4 linked regions of the Saccharomyces cerevisiae S288C genome follow. The gene in region 1 interacts genetically with each later gene. Each region holds a gene or a part of one and is shown in the gene's direction. Other genes may lie near its edges.

Evidence for each region.
Region 2: of MSH5 (region 1) and MLH3, changing one enhances a phenotype caused by changing the other (phenotypic enhancement), as found in Saccharomyces cerevisiae (one study listed by BioGRID).
Region 3: mutations in MSH5 (region 1) and ECM13 together harm fitness more than expected from each alone (negative genetic interaction), as found in Saccharomyces cerevisiae (one large-scale study listed by BioGRID).
Region 4: mutations in MSH5 (region 1) and YGR035C together harm fitness more than expected from each alone (negative genetic interaction), as found in Saccharomyces cerevisiae (one large-scale study listed by BioGRID).

Annotation. Positions count from the first base shown.
Region 1 is NC_001136.10:175,876-181,539, forward strand, and holds MSH5 (MutS family protein MSH5), read left to right. Parts: upstream 1-2,458; coding exon 2,459-5,164; downstream 5,165-5,664. Other genes in the region: CMR1 (Cmr1p), read left to right, coding at 1-611; B-type cyclin CLB3, read left to right, coding at 898-2,181; rRNA-processing protein SAS10, read right to left, coding at 5,311-5,664. UniProt on the Saccharomyces cerevisiae protein: Involved in meiotic recombination. Facilitate crossovers between homologs during meiosis.
Region 2 is NC_001148.4:238,378-243,532, reverse strand, and holds MLH3 (mismatch repair protein MLH3), read left to right. Parts: upstream 1-2,035; coding exon 2,036-4,183; downstream 4,184-5,155. Other genes in the region: YPL162C (uncharacterized protein), read left to right, coding at 1-327; SVS1 (Svs1p), read left to right, coding at 833-1,615; SET6 (Set6p), read left to right, coding at 4,456-5,155. UniProt on the Saccharomyces cerevisiae protein: Involved in DNA mismatch repair (MMR), correcting insertion-deletion loops (IDLs) resulting from DNA replication, DNA damage or from recombination events between non-identical sequences during meiosis.
Region 3 is NC_001134.8:134,238-138,309, forward strand, and holds ECM13 (Ecm13p), read left to right. Parts: upstream 1-2,450; coding exon 2,451-3,224; downstream 3,225-4,072. Other genes in the region: ubiquinol--cytochrome-c reductase subunit COR1, read right to left, coding at 1-1,279; YBL044W (uncharacterized protein), read left to right, coding at 1,761-2,129.
Region 4 is NC_001139.9:555,832-559,177, reverse strand, and holds YGR035C (uncharacterized protein), read left to right. Parts: upstream 1-1,755; coding exon 1,756-2,106; downstream 2,107-3,346. Other genes in the region: CAX4 (dolichyldiphosphatase), read left to right, coding at 310-1,029; YGR035W-A (uncharacterized protein), read right to left, coding at 1,392-1,613; 60S ribosomal protein uL24 RPL26B, read right to left, coding at 2,506-2,870.

The DNA of each region.
Region 1 (5,664 bases):
GAGTAAAAAAATCAGAGTATAATCTGCGAAGACTCGCAGACAAGAAGATCGGGTCTATGGCAATAAATCCCATGAGACCCTACGAGATTGCCACCGGATCACTTGATAGAACACTCAAAATCTGGGATACAAGAAACCTTGTTAAAAAGCCAGAGTGGTCACAATATGAAGACTATCCCAGTCATGAAATTGTCTCCACATATGACTCAAGATTGAGCGTCTCTGCAGTTTCTTACTCACCGACAGATGGCACCTTAGTGTGCAATGGCTATGACGATACCATCCGCTTATTCGATGTCAAGAGTAGGGATCACCTTTCTGCGAAGTTGGAGCCCAAACTAACGATTCAGCACAATTGCCAAACAGGAAGATGGACAAGCATCCTCAAGGCCAGGTTCAAGCCGAACAAGAATGTTTTTGCAATAGCTAACATGAAGCGCGCCATCGACATATACAACAGCGAAGGCCAGCAACTGGCTCACCTACCCACAGCTACTGTCCCAGCTGTAATTAGTTGGCACCCGCTGCGAAACTGGATTGCAGGTGGTAATTCTAGCGGCAAAATATTCCTCTTTACTGATGACTCCGGAACCATAAAGCAGGAAGAATGAAAACATCTCAGTTACCCGCACTGCCTTTTTTCTCTCCCGCTTTTCAGCAGAACGAGGCGACAAGCGAAGGAACAAAACAAAACAAAAGAAAACAAAAATATTGAAATGCAAGAACATGGACACATAAAAACATTTTTGATCCGGTCGAAAGAAAACGATCAGAAATTTTTAGCTGCTTGCTTAGAAGAAAAGAAAAGAAAATTGCAGAGAAAAAGCTATTTATTGTTTCTGTCCTTCGCTTTAAAACATAGAGATATTTTGTCCTTTTTATCATTGCTTATTATAAATGCATCATAACTCACAGTCTTTGAGCTCTGGACACATCAGGAGCCCCGAGGATGAAAATGTGGCACCTATAGGTAATCTTAAACACAGGACTGGATCCCTCAGTCATATTTCATCTGCGCACCCGAGGGTCGCACTTAGCGACGTTACCAATATAGTTGCGACAAACTCTAGCAACAACAGCATAAGTAAGCCAAAAGTCGCCCCAATTAAAGAAAGATTGGATTCAGCTGCGATAATTGAGGAAGAAAGGCTGGATGCGAATAGTGTTGCACAGAGAAAAGAAGCTGATCATAACGATTTGTTAACGGACAGGGAACAAGAGGAACCCGTTGAAGACGACGGAGAAAGCGAAGAGGATGAAGAAGAAGACCAGGAGCCTCTACTGTTGCAACATTATGCTAGTGATACATTGGTCTGGGAGCATGCATTTAGAACTTACTATAGAACTACATTAGATCCCAATGATGATGACGTGTACGATGTGGTCATGGTTGCCGAATTATCTAATGAGATATTCGAGTATATGAGGAAATTGGAAGACCTGTATAAACCCAACCCGTACTACATGGATAAACAACCAGAGTTAAGATGGTCGTTTCGAAGCACACTGATTGATTGGATCGTCCAAGTACATGAAAAATTTCAACTTTTACCTGAAACTCTATATCTCTGCATTAATATAATAGACAGATATCTGTGCAAAGAAGTTGTTCCTGTAAATAAGTTCCAACTTGTGGGTGCAGCCTCACTCTTCATTGCTGCTAAATATGAGGAAATCAACTGTCCTACAATCAAGGATTTCGTATACATGTCAGAAAACTGCTACTCAAGGAACGACCTGCTGGACGCAGAAAGAACTATTTTGAACGGCTTAGAATTTGAATTGGGTTGGCCTGGTCCGATGTCATTTTTACGAAGAATCAGTAAGGCAGACGATTACGAGCATGATACGAGAACACTGGCCAAATATCTATTGGAATCCACAATAATGGACCATCGACTGGTTTCCGCTCAACCTAGTTGGTTAGCTGCCGGTGCATACTTTCTAAGTAAGATTATTCTGGGCCAAAATCAGTGGTCTCTGGCGCACGTCTACTATTCCAATTATACACAAGAACAAATTCTTCCGTTGGCCACCATTATTTTAGAAAATTGCAGATATGCCTCTAAACGTCATAACGCCATATGGAGAAAATATTCTTCACGTCGTTATTTGCATTCTTCACAGATCGTAGCGAAGTGGATAGCATTAGCTGAACACAGAGTAGAAAGATCTAACTAAAAAGCCTCAGCTCGAGACATGGCATCAACAAAGGAAAAAGGATTCATTACCGTCTTTTGCACACAAAAACTTTAATCATCAGTAATAAACATATGTAACTTTTTAACCTTAAAACATACTAATCTCCGTACTTTTTTTAAAGCATCCACAATCCATATGGATATGACGCGAAATTAGCTCGGCGGTTAATTATTAAAAAATTGAAGCTAAAATCAAGGTTAACAAAACAACTCATTCAAAATAACTTACTCATTCATATACTGCCACCAAATGGAATATGTCCCATGAATGGCTCATAAGCGCATCGGAAACAATGAGAAGCATTGGTAATGGGGAAGGTTTGCGGGATAAAGGTGCTGTCGTTGCCAACAATGACGGAGAATTTAACGAAGGTGATACAAATCGTGAAGAGGATAGCTCTACCATTTTCTCCTTCGATTTTGACGAGGAGATTGTAATGTGTATTGACTTTTCTGGAGGAAAACTCGGGTGTTCTATTTTAGATTATCATACCAAGACTTTGAAAGCGTTTGACCAGGACTACGTGGTCAATAAAACAACAATTTCGTCTCATGATCTTATCGATGATGCAGATATGTCTTCAAACGACATAAGTCTGTTACTTGGACTTTTAATAATGGAAGCAAACCCAACTGTATGCCTAGTGCCGGCAAGATTGGAGGATTGGATTTTCGACTACATTAAGACAAAATGCGATGAGATAAACTGTAGGCTAGAACTACAACCAATAAAACGTTTCAAAAAATGGGACTTATTGCAGTCATTGCAGTTAAGGGGTCATGATAATCAGACTATATTGAACGACATATTATCAAATAGCAAATTTACCACCACAGTCACCTTAGGTACAGTGGGATGCATCCTTGCAAATCATGAACAACTTGGTGAATACAATGACAGTACTGCTTCAAGTAATATGGTAACAGGACGATTAGTTCAGAATGCTTTTGAAGATGTGATACATGGCATAAGGTATATCGACATAAGGGATCGGATGGTACTGGATGAAAATACTATATCGGCTTTGCATATTTTTCCAACAGCTCATAAACTGGGCCATGATAAGATGATGAGAAATGGTTTCTTTAGTGTATTTGAACTATTCAATCAAGTGTCTTCGGACTACGCCAGGAGAATTTTGAAGTCTTGGCTTATTAACCCATTAACCAATAAAAAACGGATAGAAACAAGATACAGCATCATAAGAACCTTATTGGATAAACAAAACGCCATCATTTTTAGTGACCTTAGCCAATCAATAAAAAGATGTCCAGACGCTTTTGGGTTTATAAATCAGTTAAGAAGTGGTAAATCGACATTAGGGACATGGTCCAAGGTTGCAAGTTTTTTAGAAAAAGGAATAGCTATATTTCAACTGGTGTCGTCCTTGAAATTAGGTTCAGACGAAGCCAACATTTTACATGATATCAAAAATAAGGTTGATATATCAGCTTTAAAGGAATGTTTGAGAAAAGTAGAAACGGTAATAGATTTTGACACATCAAGAGATACCAAGACGCTCACGATAAATACGGGGGTTGACAACAGATTAGACGAATGCAGAAATATTTATAATCATTTGGAAGGGATCTTACTGGATGTCGCAAGAGAAACTCAAATTTTTTTACTGAATACTATGCCTCAAGAAGATTGTAAGACAACAAAGAGTTTAGAAAAGTTAGTGAATGCTGTTTATATTCCCCAATTAGGATACTTAGTAACCATTAGCGTCTTAATGGAACCTTTATTGGATGGCATTCCAAACCTTCAATGGGAAGAGATCTTTAGGAGTTCAGAAAATATATACTTCAAAAATGGCAGGGTTCTTGAGCTGGATGAAACATACGGCGATATTTATGGCGCGATTTCAGATTTTGAAATTGAAATCCTGTTTTCCTTACAAGAACAAATTCTGAGAAGAAAGACTCAACTCACTGCTTACAATATACTGCTTAGTGAACTGGAAATATTATTATCGTTCGCTCAAGTGTCTGCTGAAAGGAATTATGCAGAGCCTCAATTGGTGGAAGATGAGTGCATATTGGAAATTATTAACGGAAGACATGCTTTGTATGAAACATTCCTTGATAATTATATCCCCAATAGCACAATGATTGATGGCGGGCTATTTTCTGAATTAAGTTGGTGTGAACAAAATAAAGGAAGAATCATTGTAGTCACTGGCGCTAATGCATCTGGAAAGTCTGTATATCTTACACAGAATGGTTTAATTGTGTACTTGGCACAAATTGGTTGTTTTGTTCCAGCAGAGAGAGCGAGAATTGGAATAGCGGATAAAATATTAACTAGAATCAGGACTCAAGAAACTGTTTATAAGACTCAAAGTTCCTTTTTGCTAGATTCTCAACAAATGGCAAAATCACTGAGTTTGGCCACTGAAAAAAGTCTCATTTTAATTGATGAATACGGCAAAGGTACTGATATTTTAGATGGACCTTCACTATTTGGTTCCATAATGCTCAATATGTCCAAGAGTGAAAAATGTCCACGCATAATCGCATGTACACACTTTCATGAACTATTTAACGAAAATGTACTCACAGAGAATATAAAAGGTATCAAACATTACTGCACTGATATACTTATCAGCCAAAAATATAATCTTTTAGAAACAGCACATGTCGGAGAAGATCATGAAAGTGAGGGAATCACATTCCTATTCAAAGTAAAGGAGGGGATCTCAAAGCAGTCATTTGGCATATATTGCGCAAAAGTATGTGGTTTGAGCAGAGATATTGTGGAAAGGGCTGAAGAACTATCTCGCATGATTAATAGAGGCGATGACGTAGTTCAGCAATGTGGAAATCTGACCGAAAAGGAGATGAGAGAATTCCAAAAGAATCAGGAAATAGTGAAAAAGTTTTTATCTTGGGATTTGGATCTCGAAACTACAACAACTTCCGAGAATCTCAGGCTTAAATTGAAAAATTTCCTTCGCTAATATATCAAAGAATAAAAAAACGCTTACTTGTAACATATTTAAGTTAATAAATGTCAAGCGGTTGCTCTTTTCTTATAAAAATATATTGTATGGGTACAAAAATTTTGACACCACTACTTGGGTAAATACTACATATGTAAATTTTTTTAATTCTTGAATTTAACAGACCTCGTCAAACCCTTCTTGATACCTGTCTTTTCACCTTCATAGACGCCAGATTGACCACCAGAATAAACTGCACGAACCGACTTGAGTTTCTTTTGTGCCTTTTGGTATTTCTTTCTCTTCTTGACACGAGAGTTTCTGTTATCCTTGTTTCTTTTAGGCGTTAGACCCTTGTTCTTTAAAATTTGATAATTAATGGCACGCTTACCATCACCTGAGACATTTTCAGCCAATTCCGCCAATTTTCCTTCCCTTGCAGCAATAACAGCATTCTTATGAGCCTCTTTACGAGATATTTTCTTGTCTTGTTTACCTCTCTGAACCTGTTGATAATA
Region 2 (5,155 bases), on another chromosome or scaffold:
GTGATGAAGTTCTGCGTGTTTCTAATACTAAACTACTTAGAAGACTTGGCATACTGGTTCGCCGATCTTATCCTTGGCTGGTCAGATTCATGGCCAAACTTTCAAGTTTTTCTGGTCATGTTTGTCTTTCCTATCTTACTGAATTGCTTCCAGTACTTTTGTGTCGACAATGTCATCAGGTTACATTCTGAGAGCCTAACGATAACCAATGCAGAGAATTTTGAAACGAACACATTCCTAAATGACGAAATTCCTGATTTATCGGAAGTCTCAAATGAAGTGCCTAACAAGGATAACAACATTTCCAGCTATGGTAGCATAATATAGTATTCCAAGGATAAGGAAAGCATGCACTGTTTATTTCCTTTCCTTGCTTAATTGATTTTTTTTAAAGGGAACAAACATTTTGATTTCAATTTCCACAAGCCTAGACTCTTCAACACATAATCTGTGGGTTATTGTTTGGGAAAGCATTCTCCGCTAGAAGAATGAAACTGGCGCTCAGGTTTGATTCTATAACTACGGCAGTTTTTCCTATTCTATTTTCGTTTTTTGATTTTCCCGCCGCATTGGATATTCAATTCGCGACGCTAATAATTGGCATTTCGTGTTCTTAAGTAATTTCGTGTTTCAAATAACCGTAAACAGAGAAAGACCCAAGAATTTCAGATGGCTTAGAAGAGGTAGACATTAAATCAATCTGTATGTGATGGAGAGGGAGTGTATTTAAAAGACGTAAGAAAATGAATTATCAAGATCCGTTATGGCCATCTAGTCTCTTTCTTGTACACTAGTTGTCTAACACAACCAACAAATTAGAATATATATCGCAATGATTTTCAAAATATTGTGTAGTTTACTACTGGTAACCTCCAACTTCGCTTCTGCCTTATATGTCAATGAAACTACGAGCTATACACCATACACGAAGACATTAACTCCAACATACTCTGTTTCACCTCAAGAGACAACATTAACGTACAGCGATGAAACAACCACCTTCTACATAACATCTACTTTTTACTCTACCTACTGGTTCACTACCTCCCAATCAGCTGCTATTATTAGTACACCTACTGCAAGTACACCTACTGCAAGCACGCCTAGCCTAACTACGTCCACAAATGAATACACCACCACCTATTCTGACACAGACACCACCTACACGTCTACTCTGACCTCTACTTACATAATAACTCTATCTACGGAATCCGCCAACGAGAAGGCTGAACAGATTTCCACGAGCGTCACAGAAATTGCTTCTACAGTAACCGAATCGGGCAGTACATACACCTCTACTTTGACCTCAACCTTATTGGTTACTGTATATAATTCCCAAGCTAGTAATACAATAGCGACATCCACAGCTGGGGACGCCGCCTCCAATGTTGATGCCTTAGAAAAGTTAGTCTCTGCTGAACATCAATCTCAGATGATTCAAACCACATCCGCCGATGAACAGTACTGTAGTGCGTCTACCAAGTATGTTACAGTTACAGCTGCTGCAGTTACCGAAGTGGTTACTACTACGGCGGAGCCTGTTGTTAAATACGTTACTATAACTGCCGATGCTAGTAATGTTACAGGTTCTGCTAACAACGGTACCCACATTTAATGCGTGACGTTGAATCGAGAAAAAAAGCTACTTTTAACGAAACCTTTACTAGTTATCCTATATGGGATCACTAGTATTTTTTGATTTACGATTCAATAAATAGACTAGAGACAACTTTCATATCATTCCTTAAAAAATACATAAAGCGCAAATTCAACCCCATTGATACATATATAAGTAGTTCTATTATGACTTTCAAGAACAATAGTAGCTTTTCTAAATAATCAATAAGTAGCACAAAATCTGTCTGTTTGTACGCTTATATTTAGTTTGCGTTTATTTGCGAGCGCCACGAGAAGGGGCAGGAAAAAAAGATCAATAGTTTGCAATAAACATCGAATGATGATTTCAACCACCGATACATAAACCAGCGAGGCTTTCAAGGAAGAATGAACGTGAACTCGTCAACTCAAAAAGAAAATGAGCCAGCATATTAGGAAATTAGATTCTGATGTTTCTGAAAGACTTAAATCTCAGGCATGCACGGTATCGCTAGCATCAGCGGTTAGAGAAATAGTTCAAAATTCTGTAGATGCACACGCTACCACTATCGACGTCATGATCGACCTCCCTAATTTGAGCTTTGCAGTTTACGATGATGGTATTGGTTTGACTCGAAGTGACCTAAATATATTGGCCACACAAAATTATACTTCCAAAATACGAAAGATGAATGATTTAGTAACGATGAAAACCTACGGTTACAGAGGAGACGCCCTATATAGCATTTCTAATGTCTCTAATCTGTTTGTTTGTTCCAAGAAAAAGGATTACAACTCTGCATGGATGAGAAAATTTCCATCCAAAAGCGTCATGTTGAGTGAGAATACCATACTCCCAATAGATCCTTTTTGGAAAATTTGTCCTTGGAGCCGAACAAAGTCTGGTACTGTTGTTATTGTTGAAGATATGCTGTATAATTTACCTGTCCGGCGCAGAATACTAAAGGAAGAACCCCCTTTCAAGACTTTTAACACAATAAAGGCAGATATGCTACAGATACTGGTAATGCACCCGATGATTTCACTCAACGTACAATATACAGACAAACTCAGAATCAATACAGAAGTTCTTTTCCGCTCAAAGAACATAACTGAGGGGTTAACAAAGCACCAGCAAATGTCTCAAGTACTGAGAAATGTGTTTGGGGCAATAATACCACCGGATATGCTTAAGAAAGTTTCCTTGAAGTTTAATGAATATCAGATTGAAGGGATCATATCGAAGATGCCCGTTGGATTGAAGGATCTTCAATTTATATATATCAATGGCAGACGTTATGCGGACAGCGCCTTTCAAGGATACGTCGATTCTTTATTCCAAGCACAAGATTTCGGGGAGAAAGGCATGAGTTTACTCAAAACTAAAAGCGTGGGAAAACCGTATCGATCACATCCCGTCTTCATCCTTGATGTTCGGTGCCCCCAAACTATCGATGACCTGTTACAAGATCCAGCAAAGAAAATTGTTAAGCCTTCCCATATACGTACCATTGAACCATTGATCGTTAAGACCATTCGCTCCTTTCTGACATTTCAAGGATACTTAACGCCTGATAAATCAGATTCATCTTTCGAAATAGTCAATTGTTCACAGAAGACGGCAACATTGCCTGATAGTCGAATCCAAATCAGTAAACGTAATCAAGTATTAAATTCAAAAATGAAGATTGCACGCATTAATTCATACATAGGAAAACCCGCTGTCAATGGATGTAGAATAAACAATAGTACAATAAACTACGAAAAAATCAAGAATATAAGAATCGACGGTCAGAAATCAAGGTTACGGAATAAACTCTCTTCCAGGCCCTACGATAGTGGTTTTACAGAAGATTATGACAGTATAGGAAAAACCATAACAGATTTTTCAATATCAAGATCTGTCCTGGCAAAATATGAAGTGATTAATCAAGTAGATAAAAAATTTATTCTCATACGTTGTTTAGACCAATCTATTCATAATTGCCCACTATTAGTTCTAGTTGATCAACATGCTTGCGATGAGAGGATAAGACTAGAAGAGCTATTTTATAGCCTGTTGACAGAAGTTGTAACCGGAACTTTTGTTGCACGAGACCTCAAGGATTGTTGCATTGAAGTTGATCGTACTGAGGCTGACTTATTTAAGCATTATCAAAGTGAATTTAAAAAGTGGGGAATTGGCTATGAAACAATTGAGGGAACAATGGAAACCTCACTTTTGGAAATTAAAACACTGCCTGAGATGTTAACTTCCAAATATAACGGGGATAAAGACTACTTAAAAATGGTCTTGCTGCAACATGCTCATGACCTGAAGGATTTCAAAAAACTTCCAATGGATTTATCCCATTTCGAAAACTACACTTCGGTTGATAAATTATATTGGTGGAAGTACTCAAGCTGCGTTCCAACGGTCTTTCATGAAATTCTTAACAGCAAGGCATGCAGATCTGCTGTTATGTTTGGAGATGAATTAACCCGGCAAGAGTGCATAATTTTAATTAGCAAGCTCTCGCGATGCCATAACCCATTCGAATGCGCCCACGGGAGACCTTCTATGGTACCCATTGCAGAATTGAAGTAAAGAGAACCTTAATCCTGGAACAAGGTTTGTCGCCTGCATTTTAAATTGCGCGGATATGCAAAACAGAAGATTACCTCATCACGTTGTCAAAACCTGGAAAAATTTAAAAAACAAAAACAAAAAAGAAACGTGCGATACAATACTGCTCCACTGTTGCATTACCGTTTTATGTATCTCTGATATTATAAATGTAGCCCTAGATTTATATGAATATATATATATATATATATACCATTTATATATGCAAACACAAAATAACCTAAAATTTAAAAATGACTATTGATGGAGACGTACATGAAATTTCCCCATTTTTCCAGGTTAGGCAAACTAAATGGGGCGGTAGGGCTTGTTTCAGTAATGGTAATATTCCTAAAGGGACAACAGTCTTGCAAGTCAGTAATTTTACAGGAACATCTATTTCCTATGAGTTCAGGAAGGAAGTTTGTCACAATTGTTTCGCATACGCTAATGCGAAAACTATGAAGTACAAACTAAACTACGATTACCTGAGAGATTTGGTTTGTAATGCACACTACCAAATTAACCCTAAGAAGTTTCTGGGCGCTGGACTGTGGTTCTGTTCAGAACATTGCAGAACTTCTTATCTTCAAATACCAAATATCATTGAATTAATTGAATGTTATGAGATATTACTGCATCATTTTCCAAGCATGCTGAAAAGATATAATTATACCTCTGAACAGGAGGAAAAATTAAACTCTATCTTAATTTCGGAAAATGTCATACAGTCTTCATGGGATGAGATTGAAAGTAAATGGATACCGCGCATCAACAACATGAAATCTGCGAAGAGAATAAATCAATTACCACCCACTTGCGAAGATGAATATTGCTGCATTAGGTTTGTGTGCGAGAGTTTGTTTAATCTTAAATATATGGATCCTCAGTGCATAACATACCGAGCTTTCAATATGTTACAATCGAATGAGCTTAGCAAAATATCTAAATTTC
Region 3 (4,072 bases), on another chromosome or scaffold:
ATAATCTCTTACCGGCCCAAGCCTTAACATCTTTGACTGTGATTGCATCAATTTTCTTGAAAGCCTCACCCAGAGACAGTTTGGAGCCCTTGATTAGGACTTCTGCGCCTAACAAGTTAGCGTCATTGACGGGATTACCAGATTCGTATAACTGCCCTAATTGTAATTTCAACAGCGATTTGGCACGTTCAACTTCAGTATCAGTGACAGAAATGGTCAATCTGTTCCATTGTTTCAAAGTGAAATGGATGAGGTCGTCAATCATGGTAACGTTTCTCGTGGCCGTAGAGAACCCCCATAAACCGGAATCTTTGTAAGAAAGAGAGAAATGATTGAAATTGTCGCATAATTGGTACTCCTGTATGTTGTCTAACAATTTGATACCTTGTAATCTAGAAGCGGGTTCGAAGGCGTTGTATGAGCCGAAAATTTGGGCGGCTAATTTAGCAACAAAATAATTTGGTGAATTGACAGGTTCACCTTCCACAGCCAGCGAAATCCACGCCTTTGGCAAGGTGTCGTCTCTCAATCTAACTTCGGAACCCAAGAAAGCGGCCTTTTTCTTGAGTACGGGCTTGGTACCGGTTTGCAAACTTAGGTTTTTGGATTCGATGGAATTTACTAAATCCTCATGTTTGATATTACCGGTACCAACAACAACAGCATTTGAATTCAAGAAATGGTTATTGGCAAAAGATTCCAGATCAGCAACAACTAAATTCTCCAAGGACTCCAAAGTACCTCTAGTAGGCAAAGATAATGGAGTGTTTTGGAAGGCGGTGGAGTGTAAATGTTCCAAAACTCTGTTGGGATGGTCGTTTTCTTCAAAATCTTGAACTTGCTTCAAGACAGATTTCTTCGTGGCCTCGAAGTTAGAAGAAGATAGCAAATTAGCCTTTTGTTGGATGAAAGACTGATTCAAGAAGTCTAGTGATTTATCGGTAGAACCTGGCAAAGAAGATACAATGTAAGATTGGAAGTCTCTGGAGATATTGGAAGACAATGCCAAACCTTCCTTGGCGGCAACAGCAGAGTTTTCTTTGGATAGAAAGATGTTCTTCCATAAATTGGAAACCCCGTTGTTATAAGGGTTTTCGTTGGCAGCACCGGAGCCGAAGACAACACCGACAGAGGCTGTGTGAGCGGAAGGATTATGCTCAGTGGCTACAACTATACCGTTAGATAATTGCGTTACTTCGGCCTTGGGGGTTGCTACAGCTGTAGCCAAAGACCTCTTGAACTGGTTAGATACAGTCTTTGAAGTTACTGTTCTTAGCATTTTTTTTGTTTATATATCTTGTGTTTTCTTTCTCAGTGATATGGTGACGATGATGTTCTTCTCGTATTATTACTCCACAATTGTCTTGATCAGCAATGGTAGCAATTTAATATTAGGATTCGTTACCTATACGAACAGGGATGATATAATATTTTTTCTGTGAAAGCTATTGCTTTATTATACGCTGTTTTCCTCGAATAAGACGGGGAAAGAGAGTAGGGGAATATCGGTTAGGGAGCGCTGTAGGCCTTTAATTTTCTTGTTTGGTTTTTATTTGGTGCAGCTGACAGCGCGGGCCCTTGAACTTCTGGAGGACAAAAAACACTGTTAATTTATTGGCATTTCATTGGTGCAGAAAGCGTGCTGTCCGGGTCACAGTTAAAGTTCATATACATGTTACCCTACCCAGTCCGGGTTATGTAAATCGTGAAAAAGAATATCTGGTTTTAAAATCTCTCTTTTCTTTTTCCCCCTGGTGGGTATGGGTGAAATGCTAGAGAGGCAAAAAAAAAGGTTGCCAAGTAAAGCGAAGTATTTGAAGTATACTGCAAGCATCACCGAAACAGGAAATCACGAAGCTGACTCATCTGTGATTTTCCGTCCCCACCATAGTGATGTAACATGCAGTAACGCACGGCGGGCCGAAAGTCGGACTTTACCCCAGATTTGTAGTTGTATCCTATTGGATCACGGGCGACGGACAAGACCCGAAGTGCGGACCGGCATGGTCAGCTTGCACGGAAGCTTTAAGGGTTTCCCTTGTTTCGGCATTAGAAGAGGCATTTCGCACGTTTTACCGGGTCAGAAACTTCGAGGAAGCTGTGACAATTGGAAAAAAAGGCAAAACTAAATGCAATGTATCCGGTTGCCCATGCATTATTTGTGATGTTTTCGGATGTAGTTCGCTGCGCTCCGCGGCGATATATCCTCTAGCGAGAGGCATATGTATAAATATATATATATATATCTAACAAAAGCATTCAAGTTTCTTTCTCTGGTGTTACGTCTTTGTTCGACTTTCTCTGCTTACAGCCCTGTATGACCAAAGAAAAAATAAAAAGACAGCTACATACCAGCAGAAATTTTTTATAGTATTACACTATACATCCAAGTTTTTTCACAATTATTTATTGTTTTTCTCACATAGAAAATTCCGCATACTGCGATTATAATGAACTCTACAACCCCATCGATTCAAGATCAATATATTTTGGCCAGCAAAGTACGCTCCAAGCTGGCAAAATGCGTTAGCGTGACTACTAAAAACAAAGACTACAACCTGAGAGTTTTAGTCGGGCACGCAAACTTGCTGGATAAGATTACAGAAAATGTGGAAACTCATAATGCTGCAACCAACGCCCTTGCCGGAGACCCTTTCAGTAAAGGACCTGAAAACTTGTCCATCGAACATATCGAATTGTCCAATGCTAATGCTAGTAAAAATGACGTCGGTAAGGAGGAAAATGCAGAAAAGACGATAGAAAGTGAAGATTACTGTGATTTTTACTCTAGTGACGAAGATCCAGATGCTGACACTCTATCTTCTACTGACAGTGAAGACGATGATGATTATGAAGACTATGATTTTGAGTACGATTACTCTGGCGGTGATTATAACAAGAAAATTGACATGTACTTTAGTTTTCACACCGCACCTAATTATCAATATTTGACTCACACAAACTCTCATTCCGAGCAGACGGATGAACTTGCCGAATCAACGCCGCGCTACAATGCTCTTCCCGCCACTGCCTCTACGACAGAGGAAGAACAGGACACTGAAACGCTCGATGCTGTGAGTTTGCATAGTTCAGCGCCAATCTTCCGTGTGCTCTCTCGGCGGGTAAATGGACAAGAAGATGACAGCGAAAACGAGAGTAGTAGCGATGTCGACGATGGTTCCGTACCATTAACGAGATTTCATTCTTGTCCTATCACAGCATAAATTAAAATGAAGGAAATAACACAACTTCGTTTTGCATTATCATATTCACATCTGCATCCTATTTTTTTTTTCTCATTGTTGTTGTATCATTATTACTAACTAGTGCATCACCACTTGTCTAAATACCAAACGCAAAATATATATATTCTTACTTCATAACGTTCAAAATAAAGTTTTTAGTTTAAAATAAAATAAAATAAAAAAAAAAAAAAAAAAAAAAAAGAACCTTTTGTTTTCGCCCAGTATATGGGTAAATTAACGGTTCCTTTTATTAGTCATTTTCAACTCTATACCATGCTCCAAAACGGCGTTCGGCACAGGTTTTTTATTTTACCACGATAACTCAATATGTACAAGATTATTGCATAGGCGAAAAGTAAAGTTTTAATATGGTACTTTGCGCAATAAAACTACGAATTCAAACGTAAAATAAGACTACAGAGACTAAGGTAAGACCTGTTCTGCTCAGATAAGTGGCGTTGTCCAAGTATCAGTTCTACGGGAACGTAAGAAAAAATTTTGCGTGAGCTCTCTTGAGAACCAAACCTTCTTTTTTTTTTTTACGAAATGCTATTTCGTTGCAGTGAGAAGGATTTTTTGAAAACAGAAATGAGTTAGGCCAGGCTGCTCGTACTCGCTTAAATTAGGAGTGCGAGACTGAAGACCTATGGTAAACAAGACTTTTTTTAACTAATCAAGCATGCGTAATGTTATTTTTACAAAATAAAGGTTACAATTTGAGATTATGCAGAAGCATATGTCTATATGTATGCAACAAATATGATGAGGCCTATGCAGATTATAAGTAAATTATTTTTTTTTTTTTTTGGCTTTGACATTATCATGAT
Region 4 (3,346 bases), on another chromosome or scaffold:
ATTACGCCAGGAAGAAAACCGTTCTTACGTGGTGGATGAAATAGGAGAATTCGGGTTTCTGGGAAAACTTAAAATTTCTTGTTGGAAAAGTAGAAAGAAAAAGAAAAGTTTGCCTTCTGAGAAAATGCTACATATGGTAGAGACATCAATCGATTGCTCAACACGCGTTAAAAAGGGGAAAGTGATTGCCACTGTGATCACTTTAAATCATTTCTTCGTTCTCATTCTTTTCGTCTAATTTTCTTCTCTACCACTCATTATACCAGGCATTTTATCTACATCAAAATTTGTTTTGAATCGGATCATATCATGAATAGTACCGCCGCTGCAATAAATCCAAATCCAAATGTTATACCATTCGATGACACATACATTCTCTATGATTCGCATGACTTTCTATCATTCCTTAGTGCATATTTCTCGCTGATGCCCATCCTAGTGCTAGCTTTTTATTTGTCGTGGTTTATCATCACAAGAGAGTTAGAAGCCTGCATTGTAGCCTTTGGCCAATTGATGAACGAAATATTCAATAACGTGATCAAGAATATAATAAAACAGCCACGCCCCGTATCGTTCGGTGCGTCGTTCCAAAATGACACTATAAGATCCGGTTACGGGATGCCCAGTGCACACTCCCAATTCATGGGGTTTTGTTTTACCTATAACTCTCTGAAGATATACACTTCCTGGAAGAATCTAAACTTCTTAGAAAAATGCATTTTTTCTGGTGCATTGGCTTTATTATCGTTTTGCGTTTGCTTTTCCAGAGTTTACTTGCACTACCACAATTTAGATCAAGTAATCGTGGGATTCAGCGTGGGGGCACTGACTGGATCACTTTATTTTTTTATAGTTGGCATCATAAGAGAGCTTGGTTTAATCAATTGGTTTTTAAAACTACGTATTGTCAGATTATTTTACATGACAGATTCTTACAATCTGGCGCCTTTGACATTGAAAGAGAATTACGAGGCGTATTGGAAAAGAATAAATCAGCGATCTTTCAATGATAAATCCAAAAGGGATTAGGTTGAACATTTCATTTTTCTTATTTTTTCATCTATTTTAGCGAGGCGATCTTGAGCGTTTGTGTAACTGGATAAAACTTGGCAAGCTGGAGTAGTCCTTATTTCTCATAAAGAAAGCCGAAAGCCTGCTCTCCTACAGTTATTAATTAAGAACGCTCGTTTTAAACAGTTACTGTGTAAAGCGACGGTAATCGAAAAAGTATGTGACATCGTGCAAAAGAAGATAATCAAAACCATGCAGAACGTAGAATAAATGTGAGTTCTATCACTTGCGGAGATAATACCCTCTGACGCCGCGGGGCCGATTGTTCCACGGAGGGAAAGAATCGGCCCTCGGGTTTTACGAGAGCGCCGCGGGTGAACTCACTTTTTTCTCGAGAAGAAGTTTCCTACGGCAGAATAAGACCCTTTTCCACGGATAATCAGCGGAGCTTCTGGACATAATAGATGGTTTGTGAAAAAGCTTAAGGAAAGCCGCGGATTTAGCATGTCACCCACACTTAGATTACGAAAGCAAGGATTGCAGAAAAAAAGATGAGATACAGTTTTGAGGGCAATATATAAAATATATAAATATAGCAACATTCCCTTCTCTCTGTTATGTCCACAATACTTCTAAAAGTTGTAACATATATCTATACATAAAAACTTGTAACAAACATATAATTAAAACAACTAGTGACAAGACGGAAGTTATAAGTTATCTTCTCTACAGAAACAATACGTAATGTTACTCACACCAGCCAAGACTACAAGAACGGAAGACTCAGCAAACTCAACAGATGACAGCAGTAAAAGCAGTAATTCATTCATGCGTGCCATAGTTTCTTCCCTTATGGTTAAGCCCATAACATCTCTGACTAATACAGTCACATGCAGACAAAGTTCCCATCACAATAGCTCTCCAAGTAAAATCACAAGATATGATTTAATCAAAGCTGCTGCTGAAAATGACTTGAAAAGGAGTAAGTCTCAGGGACGAGAAAAATCCAGAAGAAACTCTAATCGTAGAAATAATGAAGAAATTTTTGTGGCCAATACTGCTTCAGAAATCCAACGGACTAAAAGTAGCATATAGCAACCCTGAGGTCAATGTGCTTAACTACTTCTTTGCATCTTCATTGTCTCTAAAAAGATTCATATCCTCATATCCATTCGCATCTTACTCATCTTCATAATCACCCTATGTACATATATATATTGTCATAAATATACTAATAATTAACAATCACATTTTAATATTGGAAGTTTTCTCATTTTCTTGCATTGAATTCATGCATCTGCCGCTCAGCTAGAAACAAGCGCATTCGTCTACCAACCAGCCCTTGAGACCCGAAGGCAGAATGTGAGAAATTACAATTTTATTTTTAAAGAAACTAAACTAAACTAAATTGAAATTGATAAAAAATATACATAAAAGAAACACAGGATTTATTTATTGTATTTTTTGTATGATCTATGTTAAAGTCGAGCTAGTTTATTCCAATTTACCACCCTTTCTTTGGATCAAAGCCTTTCTGTCCTTGTCCAAGTGTAACTTAGTGATAACAAGCTTGGATGGGTGCAAGTTAATTGGAACGGAAGCACCGTTGACCTTTTCCTTGGTGACCTTGTCAACTTGAACAGCAAACTTCAATCTGTAAACAGATGAAATCTTACCTTCTTGACCCTTCTTGGAACCACGAACAACCAAGACTTCATCGTCTCTTCTGATTGGCAAAGCCTTGATACCATATTGAGCTCTCAATTCCTTGGATAATGGAGCAGATAACAAAACACGACGTTCAGAGGATGGAGCAGTGAAATAAGCCTTTCTGGCCTTTCTTCTGTCAGAGGAAACGTCTATTGAAAACAAATAATAAAAAAATTTGTTAGTAAAAGCAAAACTTTTTTTTCACAATGAGCACATAATTTTCATCCACACTTAAATCTATGTTGCCCCACATCCAACGGAGTATGCATTTCACAAATCAATATAAACGGTAACTTCCTACTTTTCTTCTATCTCCTCTGCGTACTCACGTTTTTCAATATTGGATTCTAAAGCCGGAATTTATGTCAGCAATACACAAGCTTAAAAATCGTTGAGTGCTAAATAGTCGCCCTATGCCTGGATTGAATATGCAAAAGCTGTTTCTTTTTTTTTTTTTTTTTTTTTTTTTTTTTTTGGCTTAGGTACATTCCTCCTCATCATACACATTGTTTTACAATAATTTAACATTATTCGATTAATTGTTCTCTTGCATTTTATGTTAACATTTTTTCGTGGACGGAAATTCACTCATGTTTTCTATCGTTATTCGTATCCTCCAAACATA